4 linked regions of the Rhinolophus ferrumequinum genome follow. The protein of the gene in region 3 purifies or fractionates together with the protein of the main gene of each other region. This does not show direct contact. Links are inferred from orthologs where the notes say so. Each region holds a gene or a part of one and is shown on either strand. Other genes may lie near its edges.

What was found.
Region 1: the proteins of L3MBTL2 (region 3) and E2F6 purify together in Homo sapiens (affinity purification with mass spectrometry; 5 studies listed by BioGRID and IntAct, counting the BioPlex papers as one, with this or other methods). This does not show direct contact. The link is inferred for Rhinolophus ferrumequinum from reciprocal best matches to the Homo sapiens genes L3MBTL2 and E2F6.
Region 2: the proteins of L3MBTL2 (region 3) and MAX purify together in Homo sapiens (affinity purification with mass spectrometry; 6 studies listed by BioGRID and IntAct, with this or other methods). This does not show direct contact. The link is inferred for Rhinolophus ferrumequinum from reciprocal best matches to the Homo sapiens genes L3MBTL2 and MAX.
Region 4: the proteins of L3MBTL2 (region 3) and LIN54 purify together in Homo sapiens (affinity purification with mass spectrometry; 3 studies listed by BioGRID and IntAct, counting the BioPlex papers as one, with this or other methods). This does not show direct contact. The link is inferred for Rhinolophus ferrumequinum from reciprocal best matches to the Homo sapiens genes L3MBTL2 and LIN54.

What each region holds. Positions count from the first base shown.
Region 1 is NC_046296.1:64,748,342-64,756,261, forward strand, and holds the start of E2F6 (transcription factor E2F6), read left to right. Parts: upstream 1-4,902; 5' UTR 4,903-5,168; coding exon 5,169-5,276; intron 5,277-7,920. UniProt on the Homo sapiens protein: Inhibitor of E2F-dependent transcription. Binds DNA cooperatively with DP proteins through the E2 recognition site, 5'-TTTC[CG]CGC-3'. Has a preference for the 5'-TTTCCCGC-3' E2F recognition site.
Region 2 is NC_046289.1:30,902,200-30,909,163, forward strand, and holds the start of MAX (protein max), read left to right. Parts: upstream 1-3,960; 5' UTR 3,961-4,176; coding exon 4,177-4,212; intron 4,213-4,932; coding exon 4,933-4,959; intron 4,960-6,964. UniProt on the Homo sapiens protein: Transcription regulator. Forms a sequence-specific DNA-binding protein complex with MYC or MAD which recognizes the core sequence 5'-CAC[GA]TG-3'. The MYC:MAX complex is a transcriptional activator, whereas the MAD:MAX complex is a repressor.
Region 3 is NC_046293.1:6,693,212-6,701,090, reverse strand, and holds the start of L3MBTL2 (lethal(3)malignant brain tumor-like protein 2), read left to right. Parts: upstream 1-4,871; 5' UTR 4,872-4,965; coding exon 4,966-4,989; intron 4,990-7,381; coding exon 7,382-7,619; intron 7,620-7,879. UniProt on the Homo sapiens protein: Putative Polycomb group (PcG) protein. PcG proteins maintain the transcriptionally repressive state of genes, probably via a modification of chromatin, rendering it heritably changed in its expressibility.
Region 4 is NC_046288.1:37,908,719-37,915,762, reverse strand, and holds the start of LIN54 (protein lin-54 homolog), read left to right. Parts: upstream 1-4,043; 5' UTR 4,044-4,593; coding exon 4,594-4,615; intron 4,616-5,831; exon of another isoform or gene 5,832-6,133; intron 6,134-7,044. UniProt on the Homo sapiens protein: Component of the DREAM complex, a multiprotein complex that can both act as a transcription activator or repressor depending on the context. In G0 phase, the complex binds to more than 800 promoters and is required for repression of E2F target genes.

The sequences.
Region 1 (7,920 bases), on a different chromosome or scaffold from region 3:
GGGAGAGAGTCCGAAGGGCAAAACCAACCTGGTGCAACTGATATTGTTCATGGGGATAGTACAAGGAGGTAGCCATTTAACAATAAGACATTAGCAAACAACCTAAAGTGTGCTTGTATAGAATTCAAATAGAACAGAATGTAAGAATTCAACTTTGATAGGACCTTGCTTTAAAAATGTGGTAGCAGTGTAGTCAGACACTAGCCGTTTAGCACTGGGCTCCCCAACCCAACCAGAAAAGATGAAAGTTATTCAAAAGTGTGAGAAGATGCTCTGCTCCAATCATGTGTACAGAAATAAATCACTCTGCAAGTGGTGAAACAAAATTTAAAGACCAGCTTCTTAATCTCTAATGGCATTTACAGAACGAAATTACATTGGGCTGAAGAAAATGCAAAGGATATAAACAATATTGCTGTAGATGTCGGTATCTATCACACTTACCTTCTTTCTCTTTTTCTGCAAAGAACACCTCTTGGGAGTTTATTCCAAGGAATACTCAGGAATGTAATAGCATATAATGTACACTACATACATTATGAACATGTATAACATACTTAGATTATTGTGATAGATCCAAAAAGTCATGTGTATATCACACTCACATGTCAGACCTTAAGCCAAAATGACTGGAAAAACTTTGATAGCATCAGCAAGGAAAAACTACTGTTCTAGCAGTTTGTAGTTTCTTTCTATCCCAAAGAATAAGGATGCTTTTGTCAAAGAAATGTATTGATACAGAATGAATAATGCTGTTTTCTAAAGACCAAGTGAACATTTGTTTGCTTTATCATATTTCACATACCCTTAGCTCTTGCTAAAGGGCAGATAAACTAATACAACTTCTTTGGAGAACAATTTGACAATATCTATCAAAAGCACCAATTCTTGTGCCTCTGGCCCAGTGATTTACTCCTAGCCACTTATCTTTTAGGAATACTCATACCTGTGTGAAATGAAGTCTATACAAGATTGCTCTATATTGGTGCTATTTGTGGTGGCAAAATATTGGAAACAACCTAAGTGTTCAGGGTTGGGGAACAGCATGGGTTATTTATAGTTATACATATAGTATATGTAGCAGTACAGTACTGTGTAGACATAAAAGAGAGGGAGGGAAAAAGACTTTTGTTGCACTGTTAGGGAATAAGCTGCAAGACATTTTTCTAGGTTCAAAAAGCAAGAAATGGTATGACTTTTAGTGTGTAAACTAGGGGGCAATGACATAGATAAATATTTGTGCATAAACCATCTCTATAAGAATACAAACAAACAAACAAACAAACAAAAAACACAGAACGCAGTGGTGGCCTCCAAAGAGAGGACTTTTCTATTGAGAGAAGGGAGGGAGATTTTTCACTATTTATGTAAATGTGTCTAGTCAAAAAAATTAATTCAAATGTTTTTGTTTGTTTACTTTTCTTTGATCAAAATTTCTCAACGGTCTAATGATATTTAAATTTTTTGGAATCATAAGTCTGAAACCAATGTTATTGTTTTCTAATATTTAGCAACTTTCTTTCCTTTTAGGAGAGGGTATTAGAGTTTATCTTTTCCATTATGTAAATGATATGTAGTTACCTAACAAAAGATTTCAAGTTTGCTAAGTGTATTTCTTTTTTCAACACAATTAATTCAAATGAATTTTTAATACATACAAAAAATGTCAGATAAATTCAAATGATTCATCTAAATTATTACTAACAAAACTTTGCTTTGATAAAATCTTTAACAAATTAAACTTGAACCCTGAAGATTTGTGTAAGATAAATTATCAAATATCTGACAACTTGTGTGCAAGTTTTCCTGAAGTGTATTCCATATCAATTAATTTCTGAGAATTCCCAATGCTGAGAATTAGTTTTATTTCTCCAAAATAAAATTTAATCCTACCTACAATATTTAAGAAATACCAAGAAAATTAGTATCGATTAGCATAAAATTCAAGCAGGAGGAAAAATAGAAATTTACCAATAATTTGATAATGCTGAATCAAACAAAATCCATTGTAAGGAATCCTTAGAAGGTTTGACAAAAGATTATCTTTATATTTCGTGTTGTCATGTTTTGCTCTACACTCTACACTGCGAAGTCAGCACAGTAAAGATTTTATTTTTTTTCAAATGCTATTTGGTTATTTACAATGTAATGTACCTATTGATGGCGAAATGTTATTAAGGGCATCGGTCCAGGAGCTTATCAGACAACACGGGGAGGAGGCTGACGTGCTGGCCTCACTGGGGTTCAGGGAAGGCTTCCTGAGGGAAAGACGTCTAAAATGAGGATGAGGAGTTTGCTAGAAGAAGCATCAAAGGGATAATGTTCTAGGCAAAGAAATCTTGTGAGAAGACTCAGCAGTGAAGGAAAGCTTTTGAGGGACTGAATGAGGATTAATGTGACTGGACCGTGATAAGGCGGTCGGGGCTCCGGAGTGCCGGGGACACAGCTCCCGCGCTCCAGAAGTGTGCTGGGGGACACAGCCAGGCACGCAAGTGACCGATGTACAGGGGAGTGTAATACGAAGTCCACTGACAGATTTCAAATAGAGAAGCAATGACATCAGATCTGTGCTTTGGAAAGATTTCTCTGGCAATGTAAAGTCAATAGTCACCCCTCAAAAAAAGAAAAGAAAAAGGCTGCTGTTTCATTTGACAGTGAGAGTGTAGAATCCCTTGTAGGTGGAGAGATGAAAGACAGGCAAATGAATTAGGAAGCAGTTATAATAGTCCAAGAACAATGACAACGAGCGAGCGAAGTCATGGCGCAACGGGAATCAGGAGGGAAGGGCTGAAAATCCCTCTCGGAGCGAGCGCCGACAAGCCACCGAGCTGCCCCTCCCCTCCCTTTGTGACTTTCTCATTGGAGTTCACTGAGGCATACAGCAGTAGCTTCTCTTCCCCACAGGTCTTTTTTGACAGGCTTTCATGGGGATTTGCCCTTGTGGGTGCATTTGACTGCAGGTTTACTTTTTTGTTTCCTTTCTGATGCAGGAGGCAAATACTGTTGCTAAGCGGGGAATTGAATCCATGCGCCTGGACCAATGAAAACTTTCGTGGGCGAGCATCGTCCTGGGAACTCCCTGAAAACTCGTCAAGTTCTGAACAAAACCTCAGAACAAAGAGTTAACTGCACTGCTCTTTGTTCCATTTGATTGTCACTTTACAACAACTTTTAGTCACTGGAGTCGGAAGCTTTGAGACTTGATTATAAACAGCCCCTGGGAAATCTGAAGTTCTCGCTACCATTGAAGACGGATTTTGCACCAGGGATTCGACCCCCATTATCTCTAATACAACAGATGTGCAGGTATGTTTACACTCGGTTTACAGATATAGAATCTGAAGATCCTAAAGGTTAAGTTACTTGCCGGTGAGGGCTAAACAAGGGTTGATGCAGGACGCGTTCCAGTCCTGTATGTCTGTCCCTTCTTCCATGCCACCCTCCTTTTTCAGCATCCTCCAACTCTTCAACACTCCTCTCCTGTAAGTGTTGGTCTGGCACCTCATCTCAATTTCCTAAAACGTGTACTGATCTGGAAATAAAAAGACCAGTTCTGCTAGAGAACATCTTTTTGATCATAGGCAAGTCACTTAACCTCTCTGTTCTGGGTTCCATCCCCTGTGAAATGAGAGGGTTTTACTAACTGATCCCCAGGACCTCTTCCTGCTCTATGGTTCTATGACCCAGATTATTACATGCAGAAAATTAATGGGGAACAGTCCTTGCTGCCACCATTTCTCCTCTGCCATCTTTTACACATGCCTCTTCATCCTTCAACTCTCATAGGAGGATATGTAATTAGAGACAATGTGAGATAGCCATAGATGGAGGTAATGTCTAGTGTGACTTTGCAGTCTTACTATGTTTGGCAAGTCAGTCTTCTCTATTGTTCCCCATTTGTAAATATTAACTGAGTGCATGCTATGTCTCCCAAATCTCCAATCCTACCATCTCCCCTTACTCTCAGCAGGTGACCTTGGCTTCATAGAGCATGAACTCCCTCAACTTCCTGCCAAGTCACAGGCGTTGTAAGTGTCTGGAGGGGGTGTCACTGCCCTAACCCTCCACAGCTGTGCTCACGCTGTCTTCAGCCTGGAGTGCCTGCCAACTTCGTCTTGACCCACACCTCACTTTCACTCACTTGACCCCATTTCTGGCTGCAGATAATCTAGTCACCTTTCAATCGCCTTCTCAAGAATCGGCATACCAAATTAATTAATCAACTGTAGAGTCAAATCTTGCTTCTACCACTGCCTAGCCAGGACCTGGGGTAATTTTTGTAATCTTGCTCATCTTTGTTTTCCTGATCTGTAAATTGGGCAGAAAAACACCTATCCATCAGTTTTAATACAAGATTTACATGAGAAAATGTATGTAGAACATTGAGCAGAATGCAAATGATGAATGAACACCTTACTTATTAAAAACAGTCTTTACTGGTGTCCAGAGCTTGCCTTCTCAGGGACTCTGGTAGGTAAGGGCATCTTTTAACTGGAAGAAAAAGGAAAGAAAGAGAAAGAAGCATGTAAGTAAACAATTCCGCAACGGTTTGGTTTCCAACATTTACTAAGCATCAACGCTGGGTAAGTGCCTGAGATGTGCAGAGGGAGCTCAGGAATAAATTAACACCTCTGCCCACTCAGATCCTTCAGTTACTAGTGTCATCATGTCAAGAATTCCGCGGGACAAATGCGGTTTTCCTGGCCGCCTGTTTTTGTTTTTTTGTGTTGTTTTTTTTTTTCGTGCTGTTCCCTTCCCCCGGATTCCTGCTCCACCTCTTCCTTTTCCTTAGCCATCCTCTCCGTGGATTCCGCCTCCCAGGGTTTCGCGGGCTCCAGCTCAGGACCGGATTACTGCGTGGGAGCGCTCCCGCTGTGCCAGACATGCGCACTGGGGGCGGCGCACTGCGCATGCGGAAAGATGGCGGGCATGGCGTCTTGAGAATCGTGGGTCTCCCTGCGCTCCTGCAGTCTGCGTGCTACTTCCCGGGGCCGTTGGACAGTGGCGCGTTCGTCTCCGGCCCAGACTAGCCCAGTGCACCTCCGAGCAGGCCACAAGCCCAGGTCTGGGCTCCGGGAACCAAAGCGTTGGGAGCGGCGTCCGACCCGAGCAGGAGAAGGCGGGAGAGCTCGCGGGGTGCGAGGGCGAGGGGCCGCTGGCCGGGCAGCATGAGTCAGCAGCGGCCGGCGCGGAAGCTGCCCAGCCTGCTCGTGGACCCGGCAGAGGAGACGGTGCGCCGCCGGTGCCGAGACCCCATCAACGTGGAGGGCCTGCTGGTAAGTCCCCGGGCCAGCCTGAGTCCTGCGCGCCTGGGGTCCTGGCCGGGGGCGGGGTGGGGTGGGATCGGGTCCGGGCGGCTCGCGTCTCAGGCTAGCCGCCCCTTTCCCTCACTGGGGAAGCCGCACTGAGTGTCTTCTGAATTATGAGCTCGCCCAGGGCTGGGCCGTGGCTGCTCCCCTGTCTCCTCTGGTCTTGCACTGCCCATTATGTACTACTATGAACCAACCTGGTCATTCGCTTAAACTCTGTTGCCTTCTTTCAACACGTCCTCTCAAATGTGTCAGCCTTCTTGGCTTTTACCTTGGGGCTACGGAGCACTGTTGGAGAAAGTTGCTCAACTTTGCGTTAGAAAATCTTGTTTTCCTACTTCCACTCACCCTCAGTATATCTCTGCAAGCGATCGTTTTTCTCTTGGGCTTCCTCTCCCATTCTACTTAACTGTAACTATTTAAAAGCTTGTCCATATCTCACATTTCCCACCCCACAGTTCCCCATTCAGAAAGACAGAAAAAAATGGAAGGGGAGATTGGGCTTCGTTCCAGCTGAAGGTTAATTTCCTCTATTGTTGCTCTAGATTAGATGCGATATACTGTATGTCATGATGTAACTCCCAAATCTATAAATCGAGCTCAGAGCTTTCCAACTGTCTACTAGATATCTCTACTTAGATTTGAAACTCACATGTCCAAAATTGAATTCATTATCTTCTAACCTAAGCAAGAAACAACTTTGCTGTTTCCTAGCTTAATAAATGGTAACACACCCACCCACCGTATTGTCCAAACACCTATCCTAAGCATCATTCTTGCCTTTTCTTTTTTTGAAACTGACTCCCTCCATCTTTCTAATCCAATTAAAATTAATCCCCAGTACTTGCCACTTTTAACCATCTATCTTTCAGATTGTTGCAATGTCTTACTAACCACCTTTCCTGCTTCTGGTTTTGCCCCCAACTTTTCTGTATATTCTCCACACAGCAACTAACCGTGTGGTCTTTTTACAGCATATTTATGATCATTTCATTTGGCTTAAAGACTCTATTGTGGTTCCCTAGTGCTGTCAGGTTAGATTCGAAACTTCTTAATCAGGCCCCTGGGTTTATCTTTCCTGAACTGCTTATAGTTGCTAAATTTTTCAGATTTTCACATTCTTTTGGATAAAATGGTGATTCGAATACCTATGTCTGTGTTTTTTAATTGGCTAATGATTGGAAGTATTTAATAATTAAATACATAGAAGTCTATTGCTGTGCAAAGATTAGTTATATACCTGACTGTTTGATGTTCCCATTACGTAAATGGCTTGCAAACTGAGAAGGGAGAAAATAGTATTGTTTGAAGGTAGTATGTTTTTAGTATTATTAGCAGTATATAATATAGTATTATTTTTCAGTTAAGGAACATTTAAATGAATGTAATCACCTTGGAGAAAGGTATGTTTTCAGAGGGCTCTTAAAGGGATGTTATTCTCCAAAACAGGCAGTCGGTACAAAGAGGCATCCATATAGAGAAATTTTTAACTAATTTAAAGACAGTGCTTAAGATTTTAGTTTCCAAAACTCACTTTTTAGTCTCTTCTTTTTCTTTGAAATCTCAGATTTAGAAGCATTGGTCTTTAGATGTAGGACTAGGAACGGTAGTAAAATAGCATGGAATGTGCTGACTTGCACATCAGAAGCTGCTGGTTCTTAGGCTGCTGTCATCCGTAGTGATTTTGGAGGCCTCTGCCTTCTCTGTTCCTTTCCAAGGCTATATAATAAACCTGAACAAATGAGAGGCAGATTTGAGGATTGAAAGGGAAAGACTCTTAGGTAGTCTAGTCCTGAGATGTGACTGGTACTAGGCGCTCCCTTGGTATCCGCTCAGGGAAATCACCTGCAAGTGACCTCTCAGTGATAGAAACGTTGATGCTGCCCCCGCAGTTGTGGGTTGCAGGAACTAGAAGCAGCATCATCTCTGCTGGCATCTGGGCAGGTTAGTCACATAGAAATTTACGGGAGCGTTCCTCTGAAGACGCATCCTAAAGGTGCTGAAAAGGTAAAAACCAAGTGTCCTTATTTCAAAGTGCAGGAGCCACTTTGAAAAGGCCTAATCGGCAACAGTTTGAGCCTTAAAGTAACAGACTTTATACTCATGGACTAAAATGAGAACCCAGGCTGCTCAGGTGTATTTCTGTAAGTACTGTTTCTCCACATCTTTAGATGTGAAACTAAACACAAGTTATCTGACCCCATACACAACATACAGCGTAGACTAGTGCAGCAGACATAGGATCACGGCTCCACACGTGCCTGTTCATAAAAGAGGAAAGCAAGAGTCGCGGAGCAGTAACTGGTCCACAGCAGTGCTGCAATCCAGCCTGGTAAATGTTCGCATTTCCTGATTAGGTCTCAAGGCCTGGGCATAATTCTCCATGCTCCCAGCTCCACACTCTGGGCTCTTGGTTCCACAGTCTGAGTTTTCCTTTCCTTTTCACGATAGGTAATATTGTTGTAGCTCAGTAGTTTTTTCAGCCTGCTTCCTGTCTGTGGAATTTTTAGGGAATGTAAACTGTCCCTGTCGCTTTTAGTCCACGCTGGCAGTGTTTTTGCTGATACAATTCTCCCGAAAACTGTAGAATTCACTCCTGTGAATCTTGTGG
Region 2 (6,964 bases), on a different chromosome or scaffold from region 3:
AAGAAAAATCATTGGAAATTCCACCTCCCAGAGACAAATGTTAACATTTTTGTGGAATATCCTCGCTCATCAAAGCATCTCAAACTCTAATGTGCATATGAATCACTTGGGTATACTGCCATGTTTCCCTGAAAATAAGACCTAGCCGGACCATCAGCTCTAATGCGTCTTTTGGAGCAAAAATTAACATAAGACCCAATATTATGTTATGTTATTTTATGTTATATTATATTATACCAGGTCTTATATTAATTTTTGCTCCAAAAGATGCATCAGAGCTGATGGTCCAGCTAGGTCTTATTTTCGGGGAAACACGGTCTTACAATGCAGGTCTGATTTAGTAGGTCTGGGATGGGGCCTGTATTTCTAACAAGCTCCCTGGTGATATGGATACCATTGGACCAAACTTGAAGTAGAAAGGAGCTAGATTGGGCTGCCCAGTGACAAGTCCCAGTCTTGAGAAGCTCACATAGGGCTTTACCAAAGACACGCATGCAGAGATGCAAATGAATTCTAAGAGTCCTAGATTATTATTCACATCATAAAAATACTAAAAAGGAAAACTAGAGGAAATGTATGTTCTCGTATGTCTAATTCTTTGCTGCTATTATGCTTTGCCTGTGAAAGTACCTCTATTTGGGTCACTTAATAGTGTTTCTTAAGTTCCAAACGTGTGAAGATTTTCTAGTGTTTTTGTTTTTTGTTTTGTTTTTAAAGATTGTATTGGGGAAGGGGAACAGGACTTTATTGGGGAACAGTGTGTACTTCCAGGACTTTTTCCAAGTCAAGTTGTTGTCCTTTCAGTCTTAGTTGTGGAGGGCACAGCTCAGCTCCAGGTCCAGTTGCAGTTGTTAGTTCCAGGGGGCGCAGCCCACCATCCCTTGCAGGAGTCAAACCGGCAACCTTGTGGTTGAGAGGACGTGTTCCAACCAACTGAGAGCTCCAGGAGCTCCATAGCAGCTCAGCTCAAGGCCCCTCTAGTTATCTTTTACTTATTATTTCTACTTTAATTGCGTTAGGTCCAAGAACTTGTCTTCTAAGATCACAGTCCTATGAAATTTGTTGATATTTGATGTAGGGCTCAGAATGTGATCAATTTTTTTTTTTATTTTTTTTTGATCAATTTTTATAGATGTTCCATGAGAGCTTGAAAATAATATACTCTACAATTTTTGGGTGCAGTGTTTTATGTGTCTTAGGTCAAATGTATTACCTGGGTTGGGGCCGGCCTGGTGGACCAGGTGGCTGGAGCTCCATGCTCCTAACGCCAAAGGCTGCTGGTTCGATTTCCACATGGGCCAGGGGGCTCTCAACCACAAGGTTGCAGGTTCGATTCCTCGACTCCTGCAAGGGATGACGGGCTCCACCTCGCGCAACTAAGATTGAACATAGCACCTTGAGCTGAGGTACCGCTGAGCTACCGCTGTGCTCCCGGCTGGCTCATTTGTTTGGAGCGCATCCTCTCAACCATAAGGTTGCCACTTCGACTCCCGCAAGGGATGGTGGGCTGCGCCCCCTACAACTAATAATGGCTACTGGACCTGGAGCTGAGCTGTGCCCTCCACAGCTAAGATTGAAAGGACAACTTGACTTGTAAAAGGTCCTGGAAGTACACACTGTTCCCCAATACAGTCCTGTTCCCCTTCCCCAATAAAATCTTAAAAAAAAAAAAAAAAAAGTATTACCTGGGTTGATAGGTCTTCATATTCTATCAATTACTAAAAAGATATCTGTTAAAATCACCAGTCTCTCTATCTGGAAAGACTTTCCTCATCACTTCTGCCTACTTCTCCAGGCCTCCATCCAACAACTGAGGATTCATGTTCACCAAAATATGATCCAGTCTCTGCAGATCCCATCCTTAGCCTGATGGAGCTGACAGCCTAACAAGACTTACCTGATCACCAATACCTCCCCACCCCACCTCAGACCTGGAAATATTTCTCCCTCCTCTGAGCTCTTACAGCATTCACTGTCTGCGTAGCTAATTTAACACTTAGTTTGTGTTCACTGCAATTATTTGTATTCATAATTTACTCCCCTATCAGGTTTTAGATTCCAGGTGGGCAAAGATTATCCTATGTTTTATATCACTGCTTTATTGAAATACAATTATTGACAAACCATAAAATTCGCTCTTGTAAAGTACACGATTCAGTGGAACACTATCTTATTTATCTTGGCATCCTCTGTAGCACTGGTTCTCCATCTTGGTTGCACATTGGAATCACCTGCAGAGCTTTAAAAAAAATACTGCTGCCTGGTTCTCACCCCCAGAGGTCCTGACTTAATTGGTTTGGGGTGCAGCCAAGGCATTGGAATTTTTAATAGCCCTGGAGTGATTTTAACTTGTAGCCAGTGTTGCCCTGTAGTGCTTTGCACATAACTGGCACCCAATAATTGTTTGTTGTGATCATGAATTAGCTCTAACTTCTAATATCTAGCTAACTAACTCATGCAAGAGCTACCTTCCCTGTCTCCCTTATAGCCCATCAGCTTTTATATCATAATGGTCTGCTTATGTCTGTCTCCCCCACTTAGTGTGAAAGAAGACTAGGAGACAAACGCATTTAGAAAAGATGTTTACTTGCAAAGCTGTGCAAACTTCAGTAGGACTGGATCACTGAATAAGAAATACAACAGTTATTTAAAGGGAAAAAAATGTAAAGATTACCACATTTACATGTCTCTTCAGCACGAATGATATGGGGATGTATGTCACAAAGGTTGTGACAAATATCCTCAAACTTCTGTATTCAAAAGTCAGGGATAAAATGGTTTTCATGAGGGAATCAGAAATTTAAGAGAAAAGCTCAAGATTTCATTCATTTTGGAGACCAGATGTAAAAGAGTAGTTCGGGTACTTTGTTTCTGTCAGGGGTGAAAGTGTCTTGTTTTCTCTTCCTGTGGGACTTGATGTACACTCTTAAAATGGCAGCAGGGTAGTCTCATTTTTGTTTCCACAGCTGTGAGCAGCATGAAGTCTGGGACAGTTCCAGTCTGATACATTATGGCATCCCCATGCTGGCACATGTAGGTGTTCAATAAATATTGGTGGAATGGATACAATGACACCTCATGCCACCGTATCTAAATATGATTCTAAATGGACAGGAGGTGCAGTTTCACGTTTTGATACTTTTTGCAATTCTAAATTATGGTACTCTGAACTGGGGCACTCCCTAAACTGCCTCGACTGCAACAAACTCAGAAGAGGCTTTTACTTCCACAGAAACGGTTGTTAGGGGTGGGGGGTGGGGTGTCTGGGAATGTATGAGCCTCACGTGAGTAGCAAGGATGGTCATTTGGAAAGATTTTCGCCTCTGGCAGCTGTCCCTCGGTGAGGCCGGTCATCCTGCAGGTCCTGTAACACTATTTAACACCTGACATTGACACATCTTCATAGCCAGATCCTCAGGGTCCTTCTCGTGGACGTCCCGAGCCTCGTCCCCTAGTCTGCCGCAGCAGGATCCCCAGCTGGCGGGTTACGCCCCAGGGCGCAAAGCTGGGAGACTCAGGAATTAAGAAGACAAAGTAAAACCAGTCGCACCAAGGAGAGACAGCGTTATTTAGGAAGCTGGCTACTCCCCCAGAGCCTCCACCCTGTCCCCTGGGCCCGGCGCCCGGCGCTCAGACCGTGCCCGGCTTCAGGAGCTCCAACTCCCTCCACGTGTCCTCTCTTCCCAGGAGTCTCCACGGCTGCCTCGGGAGAAAACCTCCTGACAACTAGGAGTCGCAGACTACGACTCCCAGCAGGCACTGCGCTGCTTCTCTCTCCGCCCACTCCATGGGACACGCAGGCGCTCTGGGCTCCGTCAACAAGTTGGGCTGGCGTCGACTAGTTGCAGTTCCTTACGGGATTTGTAGTTTTCTTGGCGCTAGCTGTGCCGTCAGTCAAAAGAACGAGAACTACAAGTCTCGGCGGCCCCAGCGTGACCAGCCTGGTCACGTGGAAGGGGGCCGACCGGGCGTGCGTGCCGCCGTTGATCTGGTGCTGCAGTGAGGAGGTGGTTCTCGCCCGTGTTGAGTGTGTGTGTGAGTGAGAGAGTGAGTGAGTGAGTGAGTGAGTGTGTGTGTGTGGGGACTCGGCTTGTTGTTGTCGGTGACTTCCCTCTCCCCTCCACCCTTCCCTCTTCCCCGTCGTCGCTGCAGTGGCCGCTCCCTGGGCCGTAGGAAATGAGCGATAACGATGACATCGAGGTGGAGAGCGACGTGAGTCCCGGGATTTTTTCCTTCCCTTGCGGGTTGTCAGGCAGGGACTGCGGCCGGGGCTCTCAGCGGGGTGACGGCGGCAGGGGGCCGGGCAGCAGCCGCCTCCTTCCCCTCCCCCGCCCCCCGGGCTCGGACCGCCTCCGTCGCGCTCCCGGCTTGCTCCCCTCCGGGCTCCTGGCCCGAGCGGCCTTCTGAGCCTGGAGGTGGGAGGGAGATACGCGGCCTCTAGGACCCTCATCCTCCCCCGGTGGAGGAGGGTGCTGCGGCCTCCCGCTCCCACCCTATACCGCTCAGGATCCGGGGGACAGGGACGGGTTGCGCCGGGATCCCATTGTCCGGACCCTAGGGAAGGGGACGACGCTCAGGACCTGCCCCATCGGTCCGTGATCCCCTCCTCTCTTGACCCGCGGATCCTGGGGGGGTGAGGGAGGACGGTGAGGGGTTGGGAGTGCCCAGATGCCCAGAGCTGGGTCCGAGGAAAGGAAACAGTGCTCTGGTTCCCTCCAGCCTGGGTCGGATCCTGGAAGGAGGGGCGGCGCTCGGGACCCCCCTATCCCGCCACCGGATCCCGCTGGGGGGGTTAGGGGTGTGGGGGAGGGAGGGAGGTCGGGCTGACTCCCCACCCGCCGCTTCCTCCGCCGCCGGCATTTTCTTTCTTTAATGAATGTGAAGTGTAAAAATAACTTCTATATTTTCTATTTTTTTTCTCTCTTATTCCAGGAAGAGCAACCGAGGTTTCAATCTGCGGTACGTCTCCTACTCTCCATTTCATTTTCATTTCCATTCAGTTCTAATCCTTTTTGGGGTCAGAGAGAAAAAGATCATTCTATTACTTTTAATAATGTAGTAAACTCTCCTGTTGATCGCTAAGGTGAGGTTGGGGCCTTGTTCTGGGGTTCTAGGTGGGGAGGTGGGTTTGCAAATCTCATAATTTTAGGTTCTCAGGTGACAAGTTGCGGTGACCGGATGAGTGAGAGAAGATATATGCAAAGGAATGAATCGTTCCAAAGTTTTCTGATGGAGGAATCTAGCTGTCACTATATAAGTTGTAGATGAGAAATGCATCATTCTGAAGTAAGTTGTATGATTTCAGGGCAGAGTGGTCGAAAGATTTACTTGGGAACAAATCGATTCTAAACCATATCTATCTAGTTGTTTGAAGCTGGAGCCACATGCAGTGATCGGCTTTAACCAAAAGTCATGTGACTGCTGTAGACTTACTGAATCTAACACACCATGGTATTATTCTAATACAGAAATTGGAAATGTAGAGGAGCCAGAGGTTGAATATGAGAGTCACATACAGCTTATTGTGTAGTCTGATGATGTTTAAGTTGAAGGAGAGAGATAAAATAGAAAAATAATTAAAGAAAGGTGGCATTGCAGAGGTAGTTTTGCTAAAAGGTGATGGTTGAAACCATACAATATCATCAATAATTTGTCAGGATTTTGGTATTAGTGTTCTCAGTAGATGGTTCTATGGATGTAGATACAGATGTAGATATAGATACAGATGTTGATATACATATACACTAATAATATCTTTGGAGTCAGAGACAGTCCTGTGGGTGTTCCATGAATAGATGAGAGAAAGAAAAAAAGAACAGACACAAAATCAGAATCAGAGGGGAAAAGAAATAAGTATATTAGCGTGTCCACTGTTTGACAGCTGGGAACAGTAAGTGTATAGAATGTGGTCAAAAATTCCTATGCCTCTGGGGGACCTAGGCAGGCAGATAGTCACAAATAAAGTAGAGAGCAGAGGGCAGGACTGGGGTACGTGTTATTTTTCTGATTTTTAAAATGATGTGTGGGACAATCAGGTTGTTTGGAGGCTTACTAGAATTTGCAGGATGCCACTTTGATACCTCTGGTCTAAGAATTTAATTACCACAGGATAAAAGCAAGCCCTCTTACTGGTACTTTCATTAGAGCAAGCAAAAATTCTGCAGTTTGTCCAAGCAGATCAGCATTAAGAAAAGTTTTATTTATTGAGAGCTGATATTTCAATAAAAATCTGAGGATAGAGTTTTAAAAATTAAAAATTACCCTGGCTAATAGTGACTAAAAAAAATTTATTTCTCCTTGAAGTATTGTCAGATACTGAAGTTTATATATATATTTGAAAATTCAGTTCCTTTTTTTATCAGTTACTATTACCATTAATAATGTGAACGTGGAATTTCATGCTTGGGACCCAGTCTATTTAAAACATCTTTTTTTCTCCAAGTCTCTATAAAATCTGCTCCAGGGTTTGATCAGGGTTGGAGGATATGGATTTGAATTGGAATTATTATTTGAATTGGAATTACATTGGCTTTTCAGTGGGGGAAAAGTTTTCCATGTGAAATTTTGGCTTACTGTTCTTGAAAGCTTTCTGCTTTTCAAAGTATTCATCCACATGGGCGTTGATGTAAATTGCTTTATTAAATTATTAAAATGTTTCCACTCTCCTAGAATGCTAATCTCATTGTTTTGTCTAGATATATTTTGAGTTTGTTGTTAAGGTGCCTACGATTTTTCTCTTTGATTTTGGTGGGTGGGCAAAGGGAGTGGGTTTGACCCTTTGTTTTTAATTTGACATCTACTTGCTGAGACTTTTCAGTATTATCTGGCACAGGAAATTACAGTAGCATGGAGAGAAGAAGCCATAGACAAATTTTATAGTGTATCAAACAATTATAAACATGTAGGGTAAAAAGGATTACATTATTTTTCTCTGAATATGTGTTCCTGACACTTAGCATAGATA
Region 3 (7,879 bases):
GATTGAAGGAAGTAGAAATATTTGAGGGAGGTTTTGGAGAAACAAAGGGATTTGCTGCTGGACTGAAAGTGAGGGATGGAGAGGGAGGAATCAAGAGGAAGTTGCTGAGTAGTTGGTAGTGCTATGCGCTGAAATAGGGAAAATTAGAAGTGAAATCGGTTTGAGGTAAAGGGTTAAAGTGTTGTTTTGTGGTTTATGATGCAATGTCACGTTGTCATCTCTACGGATGGATATATGGCTTTGGAGCTCAGAGGACAAATACATAGGCTGGAGATGTAAATGTGGGGCATATAAATGGCATTTACAGCACTGAAAATGAAAGACGTCACTTATGGAAAGAAGAAAAGAGAAAAGGGCCCAGGACAGAGCCCTGAAGAACACCAGCCAATACTTAGAATTCAGGTAGAAGAAAGAAAGGAGAGGAGAGGAGGGGAGGGGAGCGGAGGGGAAGGGAGAAGAGGGGAGAAGAAGGGAGAAGAGAGGAGAAGAGAGGAGAAGAGAGAAGAGAAGAGAAGAGAAGAGAAGAGAAGAGAAGAGAAGAGAAGAGAAGAGAAGAGAAGAGAAGAGAAGAGAAGAGAAGAGAAAAGAAAAGAAAGAATTCAGGTAGCAGACGAAGGCCCTTCAAAGGGGAGAGGATCGGCCAGAGTCAGGAGGAAAACCAAAAGGGGCCCAAGAAAGGACAGTGTTTCAGGAAGGATGGCGTCATCCTTAGGCCAAATGCTGCTGAGAGAAGAGAGGCATGGCTGTACATCAGAGAAGCTGTATGTGAACGTGACAAAGCAGTTTTGGTGGAGCATAAGGACACATGGAGAAGCAGAAGTAGAGGTAGTGTGTGCAGACAAGTTCTTCAAGAGATTGGGGGGTGTGGAATAGCACAATGGCGGGGACAGAGGAGGTGGGTTCAAGGGATTTATTTGTATAGTATGGGTGACACGAGCACAGTCATGTTGCTATTGGGGATGATTCAGTAGTGAGCGAGAGAGATCAAGGATCCCAGAGAGAGGGACAGTGACTCACAGAGAGAAGGCTCTGAAAAGAGAGGTGTATATGAGCTTGGTGTGCAGAAGCATGGCTCAGACCAACCAAAAAGGGTACCTTTGCTACAGCATAAGACCCAAGCCCAGGAGATCAAAGGCAGAAGGAAGGACCACACCGTTCCAGGTGGCCACTATTACTTAGCAACCTGTGCTAAATAAGATATTTCAACTAAATTCCTAATTAACCGCCATTTCAACTTGTGCTAACAGTTCCTGTCACTGGAATCCCCAACTCTACTGCTTCCCCTCCCCCAAAGTCTGGTACTTCTGTTTCTTTTGTTGAAATATTACAAAACTGGAAAGCTCAGGTTTCTGCCTTGTTTACTGTTGGTGATATATGCATGGAGATGTGAAAAAGAATACATCACAGAGAAGATGGATTTAAGGACTCTCATTCTATCTTAAAGGGAAGATGCCAAAAATTGCAAGATTTAGATCTCCAGTCAGGGCTCTCTGATGAGCTCCAACTGCCTCCTTGACCTCTTGGGGGCATCTGAGAGTAAGCAGAATGCTTCCGAGATCAGGTGTATTCAGGGTGGTACGGCTGTAGACTAAGCAGAATTCTTAATTCCTTCTATTCAACCACCCAAACTCATTCATTTCTCATACAGTTTTTATGCATTACAGAACAAGGTCCCACCGTCTACCCATCTGACACATTTACTTGGAGTCATTCTGGATTCCTCCTTCTTTCAAACCCACTCCATACATTTAATTACTGCCTCCAACGTATTTCTCAAATCTTTCTACTTTTCTGCATGCCCTCTGAGTCTGCGCTGGTCCAAGCCACCATCATCTTTCTCCTGGATCTTTTTATGAGAGTCTTCCAACTTGGTTTCCCTGCTGCCTCTCTTAACCCACCTCCACTCCCTTCTCCACACAGCAGCCAGAGAGTGATCTACGAAAACTAATCGAATTAATTCACTCCCCTGCTTAAAACCTTCAAAGGTTTCCCATAATATTCTCCTACCAACTGGAGCTGTTTACCTCCTCCCTAAACTCTGTATCTGCCAGGAATGCCCTTTCCCTCTTCTCCTAACTGGCTCATTCCCATCCTGTAAGTCAAGGATGTTTGTTTCTTATGTAGCAGGCCTTCTGGAAAGATCCCCTACCCAGGTGCTCCCTTTCCCATTTCTCCAGCCCAGCACCCTGCTAAGTTCCTTCTCAGTTGGAACTAGCTCTTTGTTTTCACTGTCTTCCTGTAGGAGGAAGTAAAGTCCATGAGGACAGAAATAGCCACCACCTGTGTCTTCTTAGAGTCCAGCATGGTACCTGATGCACTGTAGGCACTAAATAAATATTTGATGAATAAGATGATTTGCCATGAGCAGATTCTCTGCCTGTGAGATCTATGGTTGTGCTTTTATAAAAATTTAAAGATTAAACAACCCATAAAAGTATTTCTTCTGGGCTGGTTTACTTTTCCAGTTGCTGCCATTCTATGTCTAATAGGATGATAATAACTACCATTCACTGTGCCCAGTATGTGGCAGGCACTGCACATTTATTATTTCTAATTCTCACAACAACCCAATGATGTGGTCCTATTATTCCCATTTTACAGATTAAAACCTAGATTCCTTCTGTTTATCACCTTTGATGTTCAATCTTGAATCATTCATTGCACTTTGAAATCATGGGATTTTTCAAGTTCAATGAGGTTAACTTAGTCCCGTTTACGTGATGAGGACGCTGAGGGGCAGAGGAGGAAAGCCTAGGTCTCCAGCTGGAGGAACTGGGCCTGGACCCCTGTTAGTGGTAAAACAAAACTGTTCACAAGGGTCAGAATAGGAAGCTACCCCATCTAGTGCTTTGCCTTGGAGAAGCAGCCTATTGTCAGATGGAGAAAGACAAATACCGTATGAGGTGGCTTACACGTGGAATCTAAAAAATAAAACAAAACAGAAAGAGATTCAGATACAGAGAACAAACTGATGGCTGTCAGAGGGGAGAGCAGTGGCAGGGAGGACAAAAACTGTGAAGGGGATTGAGAGGTACAAACTTCTGGTTACAAAATAAATGTCACGGGGATGTAATATACGTCATAGGGATTACAGTCAATTATAACTTTGTGTGGTGTCAGATGGGTACTAGACTTAACTTGGTGATCACTTCGTAAGGTATATAAATGTCAAATCACTTTGTTGTACACCTGAAAGTAATATATTGTCAATTATACTTTAATTTTTTATTAAAAGCTGCCTGTTGTAATCCGTGAAGTCTTATTATCTAGTTCTTTAGTCATTAAGCACCTAGTGTATGTGAGGCTGTGTCCTTGGCTCTGGAAATACAATGGAGAACAAGACAGACTGTCCCTGCCCTCATGGGACTTACATTCCAGTGGTGGGATATAGACAATACACAAGTGAACAAATGAACAAGATAATTTCAGACAGAAACAAGTGTTACCAAGGACTGTAAAATGGGTAAAGGGATACAGAGTGAGGGGAGGAAACAGCTGCTTTAAATAAGGTGCCTGAGAGGTGACTTTGATCTGAAATCTGAACAATGAAGAGCCATCCACGAGAAGAGCCCTGGAAAGAATTTCCCACACAAATGGAACAGCGAGTACTAAGGCCCTGAGGCCAACTCAAGCTTGGCAATCAAGACCGGTAAGGAGAGGTGAGTGAATGGATAAAGCGAAAATATGGAGAGGGTGCTACAAGAGGAAGTTGGAGAGAAAACTGGGGCCAGGTCATTCAAGGTCTGGTGGAGTGATTGGATTTTATTCAAAGTGCAAGGGGGAGTTATTAGGGGTTTTAAGCAAGAGAATGAACATGATCCAGTTTATGACCTTAAAAGATCACCTGTGTGCATTAAAGAAGGTGAAGGTTCAGACAAGGAGACCAGCTGGAGGGCTGTTGCTGGTGGCTTGTATTAGGGTGGTAGTGGTGGAAGGATGAGGACATATTCCAGAGGTAGAAGCGACAGTACTTGTTGATAGCATGGATATGGGGCTGAAGGTAGAAAAGGTTGAAGGAAAAAAATCAAGCAAGACTTTCTCATCTATGTGATGGACCTCAAATTTAGAAATATATTTAACATATATTCAGCCTCCACTTATTACATTTAGATTTTCAATTAACCAGAGCACAGCACAGCTCAGGGAAAGAACTTGGATTAAATCTTAAATTTCAATCCTATGTGATCTTGGAAAGAGTCTAAACCCCAAGAGCCAGTTTCCTCATCTTTCAAAGGTTTAAGGACATACCTGGATTTGAGATGTTTGTAAAGCTCCATGACCGCACCTAGAACTCTAAGTGTGTAAGGAGGTTGTGGAAAATCCCAAGGAATGAGACAGAGAGCCTCATATTCAAAGCTTTACTTGAGAGACGGTAATGTAGGGACAGTGTTGCAGGATTTTGAACATGCGGGACATTTATAGCACTGGGCGTAAGAGTATTCCAGTTTCTGCCTGAATTGGAAATGAGTCTGCTAGGCATCCCGCCCAAGAGCACTTTAAATTTCTAATCAGGAACAATGCGAGGTTATTCCTGAGCCTGGAACAGTCTCAGGACCAGGGATAGACAAGGGATAATGGAGCCAAGACTAGGGACAGTTGTCCCACCTGACTATTGCAGGTGCTCAGAATTCCTTAATGAAGAGTGGGGTCTGCGTGAAGGGAAGAGCCTGGCGTAAAGAAATGAAAACCTCACGCAGGACCCGCCCTCAGCGATTTTCATGTCGCTATAGCAACGCCCCCTCCACACTCACCCACCGGGGAACTACAAGTCCCACAAGTGACCATGGCTTCCCCGCCCTCAGGGGAGAAGGGGCGCGCGCGAGCGCGGCACCGGCTGTTCCTCTTTCCTGCAGCGTGATTGGTCCGCGTCTCTGGGAGGCGGCCAATGAGTGCACTTCGGGAAAGCGACGAGGCCAATATGGCTTCCTGCACCTGGTGACGGTTGAAGAAACTCTGTTAGGTCTCATGGAGAAACCCCGGGGCGTTGAGGTGAGAGGGAGAGGACTTACCGTGTCTGGGAAAGGGAACCCCGAGAGCTTCGCCCGGGAGACCCTTCTTTAGGCCTTTCAGCGACGCCTTGCGGGTGGAGGGTGGAAGGATGGATAAACTGAGGCTGAGCCGGGCCAGAAGCGATCGGCGTGCCTCTTGCTCGGATACTGGTGGGGCCGACGTCGGGCGAGTAGTTCAGGGAGAAACAGCCCCCTGGTTTGGGAAAGGGGTACTGAGTTCAGGATGTGAGAGCTCCTGAATCTTGTTCGTCTTTCCTGTCTCGTGGTCGGGTTCTTTAGGGATTATGAGGCCTCTCATATCCTGGTGGGACGTGAAGGGAGATTCAAGTTTAAGAAACACTCCGTGTCTGGAGGAGGGTTCACGTGCATTATCTCCCAGTATACTCACGACAATCCTGTGTCATTGTTTCGTTTTTATGGTTAAAATAGCTGAGGCTTGTTAGATATTAGATAGATGGTGCGACTCTCCAACACCACAGTAAAGTACAGGATGTGGGCACTAAGTCCCTCAGGCGCCAAAACGTTGCTTGTTACGCTTTTCCCACTGTACTGCAACCTGTAACTCACTCGCCCTTTAATCATTTGGCCCTGGTCACCTTGTATTTGAATTTGGTTTCCTTTCTAGCACATTTCCATGTGCAGTTGTACATATAAAATGGAATAGCTCAAAAATTCTATAATACAAGAGTGAAGGAGAATAATCATAATAAAGTAGAGAATAATAGCTCACACTTTTAGAGCTGTCAGTAACTGCTGGAAAAAGATCTAGGCTTTATATGTCTCAGTCTTCATTAACAGTCTTCTAAAGAAGGCTTGTTATTATCTTTGTTTTACTGATGAAGAAACTGAGAGCAGCAAGGTTAATTATCTTGTACAGAAATTACACAGATAATAAGTAGCAGAGCCAGGATTCAAACCTAGGTGAGTCTGGTTTGAAATTCCATGCTTTTAATCAATAATAAATGCCAACATTTACTGAACACTTATGATATGCAAGTCACTGTTCTGAGTGCCCTACTTCTCCCCCAAAGCCAATGAAATATGTAGTAGTATCCGCATTTACAGAATTTACAGATGGGGAAATTGAGACACGAAAGGCTGACTTGCTGCAGATCACACAATCACACAGCTAGTAAAAAGGAGAGGTGGTATTTGAGCCTTGGTCTTGAGCCCAAACCCTTCACACTTTTTCTACTACATGCCAGGTAGTTTCATATGCAACATCTCATTTATATTGTACATCTTGTGAGCCAAATATTTTTCTTATTTTATAGATGAGAAAATTGAGGCCCAGAGAGGTTAAATGACTGGCCCAAGGACCCACAGCTAGTTAGGATCAGAACTTAGTCCAAAGCTATTGTAGTATATATGCTATAACTATTGTGTCTTCTGCTTCCCAAATTGTCCTTAGGGCAGTCTGGGTCCCAAATTAACTTTTCTCTGACTTGACTTGTTTTGAGTTGAGTTTATTTTGGTGTACATATGCTGAAGGGGGAACAATGAGTTTCTAATACAGGCATACGTCAGGATATTGCGGTTCCGTTCTAGACCACTGAAATAAAGCGAGTCATAATCTTTTTGCTGGTGGAGAGTCTTGCCTTCAATTTGTAAAAAACCCAACATCTGTGAAGTGCAATAAAGCAGAGTATAGTAAAACAAGGTATGTCTGTACAGTTGTCCCGTTGTATCTGCAGGGGATTAGTTCCAGGACACCTCTGGAACCCAAAATCTGGATGCTCAAGTCCCTTGTATAAAATGACGTAGTATTTGCATATATATGCACATCCTCCCATATACTTGAAATCATCTCTAGATTACTTATAATACCTAATACTATGTAAATAGTCGTTTTACTGTATTGTTCAAGGAATAATGAAAAGAAAATAAAGTCTGTACACATTCAGTACAGACACAACTGTCATAGGCCTAAGTACATAGCACACACATCACCAACAATGTAACTTTTTTCCCAAATATTTGGAATCCATGGATACGAAGGCCAACTGTATACATCTTTCCCAGGAAGTCTTCATGAGGCACCTTACTTAGGATATTTTCATATCACTGTATTGTATTTGAATCATGTTAAAATGCCATCACTTATAAATCCACAGAAGGAGCTTGGTTAATTCCTAATACATGTTTTTTCTGTCTTGTTAAGCTATTTCTTTTCATTGTGGTTGAGAACTGTATGAACAACAGGAACGATCCTGGTGCTTGCAAAGGGTAATTGATTCTGCCTGCCATTTTACCGAAGAGTGTTGACCTGACCAGGAACTGGAAAGGGAGCTGAGAGCAGATTGGCAGCCGCCCTTCCCCTACACTAAGCCAAACATGATTCCTCCCGCCTGATTTGTGTCATTCTTTCATAGGAGACTCCTTCAGAAGCAATGGAGGAAGAAGAGGAAGATGACGACTTGGAGCTCTTTGGTGGCTATGACAGTTTCCGGAGTTATAACAGCAGTGCGGGCAGTGAAAGCAGCTCCTACCTAGAGGAGTCAAGTGAAGCAGAAAATGAGGAGAGAGAAGCAGGGGAGCTGCCCACCTCCCCCCTGCATTTGCTCAGCCCTGGGACTCCCCGCTCCTTGGATGGCAGTGGTTCTGAGCCAGGTGCCTTCAGAGTGTCCCTGAAGATGGGGAGGTTTCTGGAGGCTGTGGAGGGAGAGGGGACACAGGCTACGTGAGCATCCAGGCATCCAGGTGGAAAGGGCAGTTTGATCTGACATCTAAGGGATCAGATGTCTAAGGATCTGTGAGAGACAGAAGCACCCCAAGTATCCCCAAGGGTCATTTCCTCTGCTGCAGTCTGATTTCATTCATTCTTTCATACAACTAATGTTTATTTAGCACATATTAGATGCGAGTCATTA
Region 4 (7,044 bases), on a different chromosome or scaffold from region 3:
CTGCCTCAGTATAGAGTGCTGGAAAAAGCATTGCTCTCACCACCACCACAATAATCTAAGTAATGTACAAAATCATAACTTTTTCTGAGCCAATCAAAGAGCTGAGGTCACAGGGCAACAACTAGCCTGAAACCTAAGGAAAGACAGGTGCTTCTAAACACAAATGAGATGCAAGCACTGGGTTATCTGTGGCAGAGCTTGGGAAGGAAGATGGTGTAGCCATACAAACAGGAAAGAAGAATTCTGCTAAATTTTAAAATAAATTGCTAAAGACGGAGTGTGGGCTGGCAGGGAACCCCATGGGAGGCACAATCATAAGGGGAGTTCACATCCACTCCCAGGGTCTTCTCCAGGGACTTCCACGGGGCACCAAGGACAAAGATTTGGAGTAGGGTGGCGGACAGAAACAGGCTGCTGGGTGGTAAAGTCCTAGAGGAGAGGAGTGGCTGCCACTGTAAGAAAGGCAACAAGACGCCCAGACCTTGTCCCCCAAGGAACAAAAGACTTCCATTGATGGAGGAAGGCAACAAACCTGTTTTTCCCCAAAGGACATGTGGAGACCCATTGCAGCTGGAGGAATAGGAAAAAGGGGAAAAACCTTGAATCCTGGGAGAGAACTGGAAACTGTTGTGCCCAGACCATTAGAGGTTATAATGCTGAGGGAGGATTAGGGCCACGGAGACCCAAGGACCCAGAGCCTGCCCAAGAATGAAGTTGGAACAGGACCCACCGCAGAGAAGCTGTTTTCCTTCCCCTCATCCCCACAATCAGTCTAGCAAGCACCAAGTAACAAGCATTCACTGCTGGAAAAAGGCAAGAGCTTAGAGTGACCCTCTCTGAGTGGCAAGAACACAGAAGGCCTAACTAAAACTGGACTTAATGACAAATGGACTCATGAACAAAGGAACTTCTGAATAATCTTTTGGAAACTAACCTAGTTTAAGAAAATATTATTCACTAGCTTATAACCAGCAGTATGCCTGGCACACAATAGATGCCCAGTAATACATTTATCTATGGAGAGGCCTACCCAACTCATTCCTCTATACCACCACCTTTTCGTTTTTTTCTATCGATATTTCCCCCATTATTTTTAAAGGTCTATTTTTTTCTACTTGTTTATTGTCTGTTGCTTCCTCTAGAACTGTGCTGGTCCATATTGTAGTCATCAGCCACATGTGGCTATTTAAACTTAATGACAAATAAAATGGAAAATCCCATTCCTTAGCAACACTAGCCACATTTTCGTTTCTTGACAGCCACATGTGGCTGCTGGCTACTGTATCAGATAGTATGGCCATAGAAGAGTCCCACCACTGTGGAAACTTCCTTTGGCTAGAGCTGCTGTCTTGCTCACCACTTTATTCCCAGTGCCCTGCATGGTGCTTGGGATCTAGTAGATGACCAACGCATATTTGCTGAATAAATGTTTTTAGTTCATCTGGAAAAGCCATCACATAAATGTAAAGCAAAGATCCTCTTTTGAAATATAGATGTTTTGAATATCAGTGGCTCTTAGGAGCTAAAATCCTTTCTTTGAAAAAGTAAAAGATTAGATTATAGGTTAGGCTGTATTGTAGCTTTGATTATTAATAGTTTTCAGTCACTGAGCACTTACCATATGCCAGGTGCTGTTCTAAATGCTTTACACATACTACCTCATTAATCTTCACAACTACTTAATGATGTATGCACTATTTCCAATTGCAATAACTGACATGCAAGAGGAAAGGAAGTTGCCCGACATCACACAGCTCTTAAGCAGCAGTGTCAGAATTTGGGCCCAGGCTGTCTGGCTCCAGAGGCCAAGCGATTAACCACAACACTAGCTAGCTCTGTGTGATTATTTTTAATAAGAAACATTTAGGCTCTTTTTCCCAGTATTTAAAACTTTTTCTCTTATTTAATTGCATCTAGCTAAGGCACCCTGAAAAATGTTAAATAATAGCTGCTAAAGCCCTGCATCTTTGTGAGTTCCCTGGCTTCAATGTGAATGCTTGTGCCATTTCACTCTCTCTAATGTATAATGCTACTGTTGTTTTCTGATGACGATCTTGATCCAATTAAGGAAATGGTCTTTCATTTCTAGTTCAGTAAGAATTTTTAAATTCAGAAATGGCTGTTGAATATTATATAATGCATCCCTAGAGAATATCATTTGGCTTTTCTCCTTTAATTTAATAAATTACATGAGATTTCTTAATGTTAAACCACTGTTCTTGGAATAAATTGTACTTTGTCGTGGTGTGGATTCTTTTTATTACCACATTATTGGATTTGATATCTTAATACTCAATTTTGTCTTTGTAACAAAGTCATAGTGAGAACAGAATTTCCCACTTTTTTTTTTTAGTACTGCTTACCTTGGGTTTTGCTAGCCTTGTGAAATAAAGTGGGAAGTTTTCTCCTTTGGGGGGATTCTTTGTTTCCCTGGGCTTGGGTGCCCCATCTCACTCCCTTTTTCCTTCCAGAGGTGCTCCACGGTACTACCAACCCTTTAACCATGAGGCTGTTTTGTCACACTAACTCTCAAGGTTTCTTGTAAATGGGGCTCACCTACAGATCCCCAACAAAGCCTGTGTATAATTCAGCTTTCTCACGTTCTGTGCATTGGCCACAGACCTTCCCATTTCCAAAGCTTTGCTAATTTCATGTCACTGGCCTTGCTAAAGTCTAACCACTGAGTTTGAGGTGGGAGTTGGGGGGTGGTGTTGATCATGGCAGAATAGAACGAACATTTGAGGCAGAGACTGTGTAGCTACTTGACACTCCTCTCCTCATTTAACCCTCAGAATCCTGGGAAGCTTTATTTTTATTTTGTAGATGGGAAAAGAAACTTGATAAATGTTATATACTGATAAGTGAAGGTGCCAGAATTTAAAATCAGCACTGCTTGATTCCAAAGTGATTGCTGCTTCCACTACCTCTCACCTCCTCCACTGTGTTCCAGGGCTAGTCTCTCACGTTGACCTGTATGTCCTCCTCTCTCCATTGGCAATTATCGACTGTACCACACTATTTTACATTACACTCTTGTATTTTCTATTGTTACTTCTGTGTAGTTCTTGTCTCACACAGAGCAGTTATTACCTGAATAACCTGTCAGTGCCTGTTTATATGACTCCAAATTTGGGTATCTTTTCTTATTTTATAAAAAAGGATAGCGGGAAAAGTAAAAGGAAAAGGTGACTAAACACAAAGAATTTTGATTGTGTTAGTCTTAGCTGTATACTGCAAACAAGTCCCTTTCAAAATAAATTTAACTCTGCGTGTTCTCCCAGGGGCTTTTTAGTGACCCCTACAAAATTAGTGCCTAAAAAACGAAAAGATTTGGCATTTGCGAATATTGGTCACCTCCGCGCTCAAGCACATCAAACAGCAGCAGGATGCTGGGAATCGCACCTGCAGCACGCACTTTCTAGCAAGGAAGGGTAGAAGAGGAAGCCCTTACACCCGCAGGTGTGATCCCGCTCTTCCCCCTCCCAGCCTCAGTCGGATGGAACATTCCGCGCGAAAGCTTTGACAGAGCTCCCACTCAGAGTCACGTGGAGCTGGAGCGTACTTGCGGCACCTTGCGGGATGACGCGAGCTCGGGTTGCTAAGGGGAGGGACAGGCGCCGCGGAAGGGGCGGGGCGGAGGAAGCCGGCCGGGGAGGCGGGGCGGACGGAGTGGAGGGGCGGGCGGAGAGGGGCGCGCGGGCGGGGAGGGCTCAGCGTATTATGGGATGCGGCGGTGGAATGGCGCTGGGCGCGTGATTTTGAACAAACCCGGGTCTGTGTCTCGGAGGCGCCGCCGCCGCCGCGGCTGCTGGGAGCCCAGGGAGCGCGGCGCGAGGAGGAGGCGGCGGCGCCGCCGGCTTTGGTAAGTGTCAGCCCCCGGGGTGGGGGCATCTGGGCGGGCGGGCGGGAAGGGGCCGGGCCCCCGCTTCGGGTGGTGGCGCGGGCGGAGGGCGCCGGACCGCCCCCTCCTGGAGCCGGGGCTGGTGGGTCGTCGCAGAGAGCGGGAACCTGCAAGCTGGGGGTCGCCGCACCCCACCCCCGGGCCGCAGGGGGCGGGAGGATCCTCCGGGCTCGGCCCCTTCCCGCCCGCACCCGGGAGGGCGGCTGTCACCCGGCAGCCCGCCCTTCCTGGCTGTCTGGAGGAAGGGCTCCCGCGGCTGTTGACACGCACACTGCGTGGCCGGAGGAGCCGGCAGTGTCGGCCCGGGATTTCTGGGAACCGGTTTTGCTGCTGTGTCATTTTGTACCAGCCCCTCCTTTCCCTCCTGCCCGCCGCCCGGGTCTTCCTACGCCCCTTTGTATGGTGTCTTCTTCGTGTGTGTCCGTTTTCCTCGCGAAGCCCACCAGCCAAATGTCATAATGTTCCCGAGGTGCACGGGGGAAGGGAGCGGGCCGGGACTTAGCTTGGCCAAGCAACGGTAAACACCAAGAAGACTGCGGGTGGACGAGGCTGGCGGTGGGGAAATAAAGTTTAAAGATGAAGACATTGGGTAGACTTGATACTCTCAGCCTCTAACAGGCTACGCATAGAGACGGCGATTTAGGCTGGGTGGTAAATAACATTAGTTTAAGCCTGAATCTACCGACTTTTATATGGAGTTGCCATTCAAGCAAGGTAAGGAAATGGCTTTTTCAACTTCTACCTCGCTCTTAGACTAACTTTTAAAAAAGACAGTAGAGAGGCCCTATTGGGAACCTTAAAATTCAGTTTGCTCATTTCAGATAAGTCTTTTAGAGCTTATGCTGTAGTTGAATGTATAGAAATTCAGTTTTTGAATGGGTGATTATCATATCTTTCTGAAATTAGCAAAGGTAGCCAGTTTAGTTTTTAAAAAGATACTGGTCTTATCAGAAGTCTTGCAGCTTATGTTTTCTTGTTGTTTTTGATAATTAAAAAATACCTATGTGCTCTTATTTATTAAACTGCATGATGAGAGGAGCTGGAAGGGGTGGGTGGGTAACTGGGGTCTTCTTGTTCTAAAACAAGCTGTTTCACTGTATTGAACAGTGGTAGATTTTTTATTACTATTATTTGGTGACTTAGGTCCTAAAAACGTGGCAAAGAATTATTTTAGCTTAGAGGTAAATTTTCTGTTTTAGAAATTGTTCATTCATGAATAGGATCAATACATGTTAAACGTAGTTGCACTTTAACGTCATAAACCAATTGCAGACAAATTGAAAGTCACAATGTTCATAGACAGAAATGATCAAATGAAATTAAGTGGAGAGATAAATAATTCAGAACTTTATTTTTAAAACTGGTTGTTTGACCATAGTATCTACATGAGGATCAGTGCCTGTAATTTACAAACGTGTTAGAAAGGTCAGACGTGCATATGGAAATAGCTCATTCTGTCAAAGTAGTGCTGACAGAGGAGGAAAGTGTCAGAGTTGGTGAATGACGTGAAAGGTCTTGATCATGTTTTTAGTGTCTGAGATGGGCACAGTGAATACAACGCATTCCATCACCTCTATCAAGTTGCTTTTCTGAAAATTAAAGAATTTGAGTGTATTGTCCTTGTCGCCTTCCCCATGGCTTTTGCTCTTCAAAAGAAAAATGTGCGGGACTGGGGATCCTGCAGGTAGCGCGACTTCCTTTGGTGTGGCTGTCGGGCCCGCAGGAGCACCATTTTTCGTTGTGGGGTGAGAGGTCTCGGCGTGGGCTGTGTGTACATTTGTATCTCCCTGTGCATTTGAAGGTTGGCGGGGCGGGCGGGAGGTTTCCCCGGATATGTGGGTGTGCGCCTCTCGGGAGGGGAGGGCTGGGGATGGGAGGAGGAGGAAGGGGGAGGTTACTGGCGGCGGCGGCTGCGGCGGCCCGGGCTCGGGCTGTCGGGGAAGCTGCTGAGCTGTGATGGTGATGACGAGGTGAAAATGGCGGATCTTTCGAAATACAATCCCGGCCCCTGACATACCAGAGGCGGCGGCAGTGGCGGCGGCGCCACCCGAGCTCCCTTTTCGGTCCCCGCGTCCCCCGTAGCGCTCCACTTCGGGCAAACTGGAAAAGGAAGCGGCTGGCCAGAGCTACCGTGCACAGGCAAACAAGCACCGCCCGGGCTCGGAATTGCCCGGGACCTTCTGGAGCCCCCACCTTGGAGCCGGAGGGAGGAGAAAGCGGCAGCCGCTGGAGGTAGAGAAGGGGGTACCCGAGGGCTTCTCTGTCTTGAGATCTCTTTATTTTGCAGCGGTGCGGGAAAGAATTGCGTTGTGAATCAAGGAATGACTAGTCCGGAGTGCAAAGAATCAGTAGCCTCATAATGACATCAACATTATTCTTTGAGTGTTAAGAGGGCTCGAGTTTGCTCTAATATCTAAGGCTGCTGCTGAGGCCTAGAGGAACCGCTAGCACTTATCATGATTTCCTGATTTAATTTTCAAAATATCCACTCTGGCGGGCGTTGGTGTGATGATGTTCAGCAGGTTATGGGGTTGTATGTTTCCTTCAGGGAGGCAGAGCATTGGCATTTTATTCTGCATTCAAGCTCTTGTCTTAGATCATAGTCTATAACTTGTTGAGATGTGGATGCTTACATTTTTTGAGCGCATAGACCAGTTTTGTAATGATTAAAAATGTTGTTGTTTTTTTTTATGACTCTGTCATCCAAAGAATGACCTCTTTGCCCTGCTATTGGCAAATTACAATTGAGATGTTGTCAGGCATGTTTTATATTTATATGTTTCTCTGCCCCCCTCACCCCCCATCTATTTCATGAATCAGAGAGTAAAGTTATGGAAGATTTTGCAGTGGATTTTATAATCCAAGTGAACAATAGCCCTGGGAGTTCTATTTTGCTTAACAAGTTTTACCTTCATTGTAAGAAGGAAGTTGTGGTGGCTTGATGCATGCATCTGATGTGAGTACATTAGGTTAGTAAAGATGAATTGAGAACTCCTACATTCTAAATATTGGAGCCATTTGTTTAGACAGCTGGAGAAGTAGATTGATTGACTTTATGACATCCATAGTTTAATTTTTATTAGGTTACCTAAAGATCCATGTCAGATCCCTAAGGAATCTGTTTCCTTGCACAGGACAGTAAG